2 linked regions of the Nothobranchius furzeri genome follow. The protein of the gene in region 1 interacts with the protein of each later gene in a pairwise test. Links are inferred from orthologs where the notes say so. Each region holds a gene or a part of one and is shown on either strand. Other genes may lie near its edges.

The links.
Region 2: the proteins of bccip (region 1) and rpl23 interact in binary tests that used the Homo sapiens proteins (3 or more experiments, as listed by UniProt). The link is inferred for Nothobranchius furzeri from reciprocal best matches to the Homo sapiens genes BCCIP and RPL23.

The regions. Positions count from the first base shown.
Region 1 is NC_091756.1:42,762,767-42,767,066, reverse strand, and holds the start of bccip (protein BCCIP homolog), read right to left. Parts: upstream 3,061-4,300; coding exon 2,920-3,060; intron 2,798-2,919; coding exon 2,723-2,797; intron 2,650-2,722; coding exon 2,569-2,649; intron 2,483-2,568; coding exon 2,396-2,482; intron 2,317-2,395; coding exon 2,129-2,316; intron 1-2,128. Other genes in the region: uros (uroporphyrinogen-III synthase), read left to right, coding at 3,167-3,255, 3,973-4,036, 4,117-4,200. UniProt on the Homo sapiens protein: During interphase, required for microtubule organizing and anchoring activities. During mitosis, required for the organization and stabilization of the spindle pole.
Region 2 is NC_091758.1:12,992,716-12,996,621, forward strand, and holds rpl23 (large ribosomal subunit protein uL14), read left to right. Parts: upstream 1-1,309; 5' UTR 1,310-1,413; coding exon 1,414-1,426; intron 1,427-1,876; coding exon 1,877-1,960; intron 1,961-2,251; coding exon 2,252-2,380; intron 2,381-2,630; coding exon 2,631-2,744; intron 2,745-3,088; coding exon 3,089-3,171; 3' UTR 3,172-3,202; downstream 3,203-3,906.

The sequences.
Region 1 (4,300 bases):
GGGCTTGGCCATTTCTCTGAAATCACCAAACTTATTTTTAGTTTTGCAGAATTAAATGTATTGAGGCACTGTTTCATTTCATTGATTTTCCCCACAGATCCCAAAGAAGGTTAGTGTTTAATCATTTATTTTAGGCAAAAGCTGTTTTCTTCTTGCACTGAGAAACGTCATAAGGACAGATTTAACTTCATGTAATTTTTGAACTATGTGCTTGCTGTAGTTTTCTGGGGCAGCAGCATCAGCACCAGAGATCTCAGCAGGTTCAACAAATGCATTAATAAAGCTATGAAAATTCATCTGGCAGAGCCTGTAGATGTTAGGGTCTGTGACGATCCATGAATAAACTGCTTTCATATATAAACACATCCTACTGAGACTGGAGCTATTTTATGACAGATTCATTCAGATCTGCCGTCAAAAGTAAGGTCATGTTCTACTTGACTGCACCTTTATGTAGAGAATAAATGTTTCACCCACATGTGCACATGATCATTACGACAAATGTCAATGTTGATGGATATTATTTTAAGTTCTGAGAGTTACTTTTTTTCCGTCTCTGGCACCGTGTTGTAGGGCTGTGTTGGCTGACGCAGCTCTGCAATATCGCGTGGACATCGGGGACAGTCCCACTGGACTGGCAGACCTGGGTAGTGGTTCCCTTATTTAAAAGGGGGACTGCAGGGTGTGTTCCAACTACAGGGGGATCACACTCCTGAGGCTTCCTGGTAAGTTCTATTCAGGGGTTCTGGAGAGGAGGGTCCGTTGGATTGTTGAACCTCAGATTCAGGAGGAGCAATGTGGTTTTCGTCCTGACTGTGGAACACTGGACCGGCTCTATACCCTTAGGGGGATCCTGGAGGGTGCGTGGGAATTTGCCCAACCAGTCTACATGTGTTTTGTGGATTTGGAGAAGGCGTTTGACCGTGTCCCTTGGGGGGCCCTGTGGGGGGTACTCCGGGAGTCTGGGGTACCAGGCCCTCTGATAGGGGCTGTTAGGTCCCTGTATGACCGGTGTCAGAGCTTGGTCTGCATTGCCGGCAGTAAGTCGGGCTCGTTCCCAGTGAGAGTTGGACTCCGCCAAGGCTGCCCTTTGTCACAGATTCTGTTCATAACCTTTATGGACAGGATTTCTAGGTGCAGCCAAGGTGTGGAGGGCATCCGTTTGGTGGCCTGAGGATCAGGTCTCTGCTTTTTGCAGATGACGTGGTCCTGTTGGCTTCATCAGATCGTGATCTTCAGCTTTCGCTGGAGCAGTTCGCAGCAGTGTGAAGCAGCTGGGATGAGAATCAGCTCCTCTAAATCTGAGACCATGGTCTTGATTCGGAAAAGGGTAGAATGCCTTCTCCAGGTCAGGGATGAGGTCCTGCCCCAAGTGGAGAAGTTTAAGTATCTCGGGGTCTTGTTCATGAGTGAGGGAAAACTGGAGCATGAGATCGATAGGCGGATTGGTGCTGCATCTGCAGTGATGCGGGCGTTGTACCGGTCTGTCCTGGTGAAGAGAGAGCTGAGTCAGAAGGCAAAGCTCTCGATTTACCGGTCGATCTACGTTCCTACCCTCACCTATGGTCATGAGCTTTGGGTAGTGACTGAAAGAACGAGATCGCGGATACAAGCGGCCGAAATGAGTTTTCTCCGAAGAGTGGCTGGGCTCTCCCGTAGAGATAGGGTGAGAAGCTTGGTCATTCAGGAGGGGCTCGGAGTAGACCCACTGCTCCTCCACATCAAGAGGAGCCAGTTGAGGTGGCTCAGGCATCTGGCCAGGATGCCTCCTGGACGCCTCCCTGGTGAGGTTTTCTGGGCACGTCCAACCGGGAGGAGACCTAAAGGTAGACCCAGGACACGGTGGAGGGACTATGTCTCTCACCTGGCCAGGGAACGCCTTGGGATTCCCCCGGAGGAGACCTGGCCCAAGTGGCTGTGGAGAGGGGAGTCTGGGCCTCTCGCCTTAAGCTACTGCCCCCGCGACCTGACTCCGGATAAGCGGATGAAAATGGATGGATGGATGGCACAATGTTCTTGTAGTGCTGTTTCTTTTTTGTTCTTCAGAGGAACTTCTTATTCTCTCTGGTGATTATTTGTTGATAGGAGCCTGTAAGTGGTTAGACTGGGCAGCAAAAGAAGCACTCACTGGAGCTGTGTATGCAGAGGGAGGGCGATCTGTGGAGGCACATTGATAAAGCGCTCACTCAGCAGAAGTCCCACAGGTTTGCTTGTGTCATTTAAGATCTGCTCCAGCTGTTCAGTCACACTGTGAGAAGCATTCTTCTCACACTGATCCAATATCAGCTCCTTGATGTCCTCCACACACCGCACGCCCTAAAAAAAAAGAAAAGCCACAACCTTCAAAATTAAGTTAAAAATTCACGTATTTTACTCATCTTCAGAGATTACCTACCTTTCTCTCTGTGAGGTTGAGCATAGCAATAAATCCAAAGACTTCATCCGGGTCATCATCATCACTGTCCTCTGGAACTTCAGCTTGCTAGAACCAGATGAAGGAGGAACGTAATCAGAACAGGGGATAAAATGCAGCGCCTCAAAGTTTGGGACTGGAAAAAAACGACTCACTTTGATGACGCTCCCAATATGATTCTGCTGGATGATGATGTCCGTCATCTCTGCTGTGTCTACACGCGCCTTCAGGAACAGCTGAGTCCAAACTAGTAAAGATTAGTGACAACTATTCGTGACGCTTATGTGACAACAACACACAGTTCTGCACCTGCTGCAAAAGCTTCTTAATGCCACTGAAGTCGTTGTTTGAAATCGCATGGGCTTCAAAATCCACCACGACCTCCTGCAAGTAGAGAAGAAAAAAAATATGCATTTTAAACCAAAAATGATTATGTCTTCATGATAACATCACGGACATGCTAGCTAGCGGGTAGAAAGGCCACGTGGGTTTTGTGGATTAGCCACCTCGTCGATTTCCTCCTCTGACGCCTCGCTGTCGTCCTCTCCAGACTCGCCGTCATCCTCCGGACTCTCATCCGAGCTGTTGTCGCTTTCTTCGGGATTCTCACCCAAACCCACTGCTCTCCTCTTAGCGGATGAGGCCATGATCAAGCGTGAAACCCGTGTATATTTAAGTAGGCGCTGCTAAGGTTAACGGATAGCAGGAAACTGGACACGTTCGGGCGCCATTTTGGCTCAAAATGACTGTGGAATGGGCGTACACCCGAGAAGATCCGAACAGACGTCGACTCCATGTTGGCTCACGCGACTGAACCATTTCCTAACACTGGGGAAAACGTTGTAAATAATATATTGGAATAAAATAGAAAATATGTCTCTAAAATATGTGACATAAACACTAACTTGCATTAGATGACCTATTTAAATGTTTAAAATGTAAATATAAAACATTTTCTAATTTTACATAGATTTGGGGAGACATTTATCGACAGGCAATTTTTGGACATCTTATTTTTAAATGCCAATGAAGTCGTCCGATGAACAGCTGAAGGTGTTCATTCTTATGCATGTATATATGTCGATGTTATGCAGTTATTTCGTCTTTCCAACCGCATATTGTTGCAAATATAATTGCGCAATTAATGTTAAACAAAAACTATTAACGTTTATAGCTGAAAATCGACGTATTTTTGGTTAAACTGGAACGTTATCGTGGCTAATCTGTCAGTGTGTTTTGCAACAACAACAACAGACAGACCGCAACAACAGACCGACGTGCCCAACTACGCTAAAGCGGATTTTACGATACAAGTTGACGTTATTGTTAGTTTATAATAGTTTAGTGTATAATCTTTCCTATTCAGGGATCGTGACTCAACAGTGTTGCTATCTGTAGGTTGCATGTGACCGTTTCTGGGTGTAGCTGAGCTACTTAAGTCTCCACACCCTCTGATTTAACTACTTTAAATTTCTGAAAGCAGCTGATACCTTTCTAACAGATGTCAAAACCCACCTTGTGTTATTGGCTCCGTTGAACTGTCTTTTATTCATTGACAGGATGCGTGTTTTGCTTCTTAAAGACCCCAGAGATGGAGAGTCTGGACCTGATCCTTACATTAAGGTAGAAACAGTTTAACCAAATCAATGACGTGGTTTTAACTAAACACACACTGCTTTGTTGCTATGCTTTTTACTCTACAGGAGCTGGAATCACGTGGGCACAAAGCAACCCTAATTCCAGTGTTGTCTTTTAAGTTTATCTCAGCAAACACCTTGTCAGATAAGGTAAATTAAATAACATTATCTGAACCAGTGTGTCATTTACCTAACTTTCTATGGCTGCACGTGTAAACCACTGATCATTTTAATGTATTTATTTCATAAG
Region 2 (3,906 bases), on another chromosome or scaffold:
CGCAGTCGTCGATTCTACGAGCCAACACAACAGCTTCTGCAGCATTTCCTCCAGACTAAATACAAACCATAAGCATTGCTGCTGACTATACCAACATGTATTTGTCCCAAACGGCACTGGACCCCTAAATTAGCTATACTTATATAGGGTTAGTTTCTCATGATTTCACGTGGTTTTTGGACTTCTGTTCTGTTTTCAGGCAGACTGGGAACACCGCCCCAGCTGTCTCACCGCTACAGCTAATAATCACTGCTTCAGTTGACACACCACATTACTTAATGATCAGATTTTTCATCACCAAACTATTGCTTTAGTCATTCACTCTGATCATTAAATGATATTGTGTTACCAGGAGTTATAATAGGTTTATTGTGGCTGGCTATCAGGGGATAATGTCTTCCCTCAGCTAACAGATGATGAAAACAACCCTGGTACTTTCATTCAGTCACTCCACGTGTCTCTAATTCATCAAAACTATAATTTCCTGCTTTGATTGGAAAAGGTATGTGTTGCATATTTTAGGTGTCTCTACTGCAGCCTCTAATAAACTAAACCCAGGCCTCGGGTCTGGGTTGTCATATTCGTCCTGTGCCGTCCTCCCTCCAAACACCAGTTATCACGTTTACTGCTGGAGCTCAGTGGGGCTGCTGGTCCATTTCCAGGACAACCCAACCATCCTGCTTGGTTTCTTTTCTTCCTCTATCGCTCTCAGCAGGGGCAGGCTGAAGAAAACTGTAATGAAACACTGACATCTAGTGGAAAATAGACCACTGCAAATGTTTGTTGAGAATCCAGCAACGACGCTCTGAAAAATGATAAAACGTTTGATTTACGACTTCCTTTAATATGTGTATTGAAGATTGTTTCTTCAAATAGTCTGTTAAACGTTAAAATGTCTGGATGGGTATTTTCCTTAGTTTTACCCCTAAGGAAATTTTAAAATTGTTGTCGTTATTATTAATGCCTCTCATCTCCACCAGTGTATGAATGTGTGTGTGAATGGATGAGTGATACACTGTAGTGTAAAGCGCTTTGGAGTCCTTACTCTGAGAGGTGCTATATAAGTGCAGGTCATTTTTCATTTATTATTATTATTATTATTATTATTATTATTATTATTATTATTATTATTATTATTATTTTATTGTTGTTGTTGTTTTATGACACTATATCCTAACGTGGGAGTCTCTAAACGTTTATTATATTGTAATTTTTATTGTGTTTAATTGTGAAGTAATGGATCTGAGAAAGATAATAAAAGTATTCTCTACTTTTAAACTAAATACGTTTTAAAAACAAAGTCACGCCCCCCAGGCTCATACGCACTGCTCCTCTACGTGACCCGGAAGTAGTTTCCTTCACCTTTATAAGGTCTACTTCCGTTTTTTGCCTTTCTCTTTCCCTGCCGCAGCCATGTCTAAGAGAGGTAGGTTTATCATCATATGAAATCCACCTTCATCTGCTGTTTTAGTTTTACCCAGAGTTCCTAATGATGCTCGTTTAGGACAGATTGATAATAAACCACACGTTTCTGTGGCTCGTTCGGAGTTTTTCTCACGCTTTAATGATCCGGAGATGATAGCATTGTTGCATTTCAGTTCTCGGAGCCATGTTTGCTTCAGGGCCGTGAAGGCGAGCTGGACTGCATTAGAGCTGCAGGTTGGAAATAGACGTTTGTGTCAAACTACGCGGCTGTTTATCGACAAGTAGAGAAAACAGGAGCTAGTTAACTACCGTAGACTAGCTAATAGCTAGCCGGTGTGAACTCGAGGTGGACGGAAGAGGAAGTGCTAGCTAAAGCTGGGCTACAGCCGAGGCTGTGTGGAGTTTCAAGCACCGGTGGAGCCTTGGACTGATTAGGGTCCTCTCGTTGCAGGACGTGGTGGTTCGTCTGGAGCGAAGTTTCGCATCTCACTGGGTCTCCCAGTGGGAGCAGTCATCAACTGTGCAGATAACACAGGTACGTCTTACCTGCCCTGTATAAAAGCTGGATTCAAGGCGCACCTCATGCCTGTTGGGTCACCTAACATCCAGCCTGGACTGGAGGAAGGGGCCTTCAGTCCCACACACACACCTACTTGTATTCTCAAAATTACACTAACACTTATTTTATTCAAGTGTGAAAGTGAAAACGGGCAAATATGTTATAAATTACTTGAGCTATTTAATGAACTGTGTAGTTGAGCGGGAGGGTCTGGGCATTTAGTTCCAGTAATCCTGTTTTCATGCTTGTTTTCCTTCTGACTCACAGGTGCTAAGAACCTGTACATAATCTCTGTGAAGGGCATCAAGGGTCGTCTGAACCGTCTCCCCGCTGCAGGAGTGGGGGACATGGTCATGGCCACAGTCAAAAAAGGCAAACCAGAGCTCAGGAAGAAGGGTGAGTGGTAACAGCTGCATTGGGTTTGATCTGTCCCCCGTTACACACAAAACGAGTGTGGTGCATGTAAGGGGGGTACTTCTCTTGGGAATGGACACGGCTGGATCAAGTTGAGTTTCGTTCAAAGAAATGTTTATGTGCCAGTTGTCCGTAAGTGCGACTACAGAGAAGCGATTAGTCTGCTTTTGGGGCACAGCTGCATGTTTCCACCTCGCAGTCACCTGTGATAACACCACTGCTCCTCTCCCAGTGCATCCTGCGGTGGTGATACGGCAGCGGAAGTCGTATCGGCGAAAAGATGGAGTGTTCCTCTACTTTGAAGACAACGCAGGTGTTATTGTGAACAACAAAGGAGAAATGAAAGGTGTGTTTTTAGTTTCAAGGCATTAGCTGCTGTTTCTGTGAGATGTAGACTGTCAGTGTCTTCGCACCACGGTAAATCTGTGTGTGGTTAAGAGTGCTGGTGGCGTGAAGCGCCCCCTTCCAAAAGCACTTGCTTGGTCTGCTCAGTGGCTGGGTGAGTTGTCGAGGAAGGGCAGAATGACTTCATCACTGTGGGTGAGACAGCAGAGACCTTCTGTGACTGACTGATCTCAATCAGGGATGAGACAAATGTTGCTCCACCAAACTCAAACCCATTTCTAGCCTTCTGCCTTTTCAGCCTGCTGCTTCATTTGGACCGCAGTAACGTCTCGTCTCTACCTGCAGGTTCAGCCATCACAGGCCCAGTGGCCAAGGAGTGTGCAGACCTGTGGCCCAGAATCGCTTCCAATGCCGGCAGCATAGCCTGAGACTGTGTTTACAATAAAAGCTGTTCATCAACCCAGTGGCCTGGCGACTTCATTTAACGTCACGTTGGGTGTGGCGCCCTGTGATGTGGATGTGGTGGTGCCGTAAGCATAATCGTACTGGAGACAAGGCTGGAGGAACCAACCGCAGCCTGCTTTAGTGTAGAGCAGGGCCATTACCAGGGGTGTCCAATCCTGGTCCTGGAGGGCCGGTATCCTGCATGTTTTAGTTTGAACTGTTTCAACACACCTGATTTTAATCAGCAGCTAATTAATAGGCTTCTGCAGAGCCTGATGAGCTGCTGCACAGGTGTTTCAACCACTGAATCAAGCCTGTTGGAGCAGAAAAACCACAAAACCTGCTGGATACCGGCCCTCCAGGACCAGGATTGGACACCCCTCCTCTAATCCAACACTAAATCCAGTGGTTGAATCACCTGCTGCTGGGGTCAGCTGTGTTGCAGCAGGGTTAAAACCAAAAGGTGCTGGATACCGGCCCTCTAGGCCCAGAATTTAATAGCCCAGTTGTAGAGCGATAACCTGGATGAGGTGTTGACATGCCTTCAAGTACCGCTCACACACAGGTAGCTGATCTGCATGCTCGCATGACCGATTGGATTATAAATGATTTGTTTCCTAACCTCTGTGTAGGAAGGTGGCCTCTTCCTGTAAGTCCAGGAGCAGGAAGTGACCTGATGCATTAATGTTCATACCCAGTCCAGCTACTCGAGTGTTGAA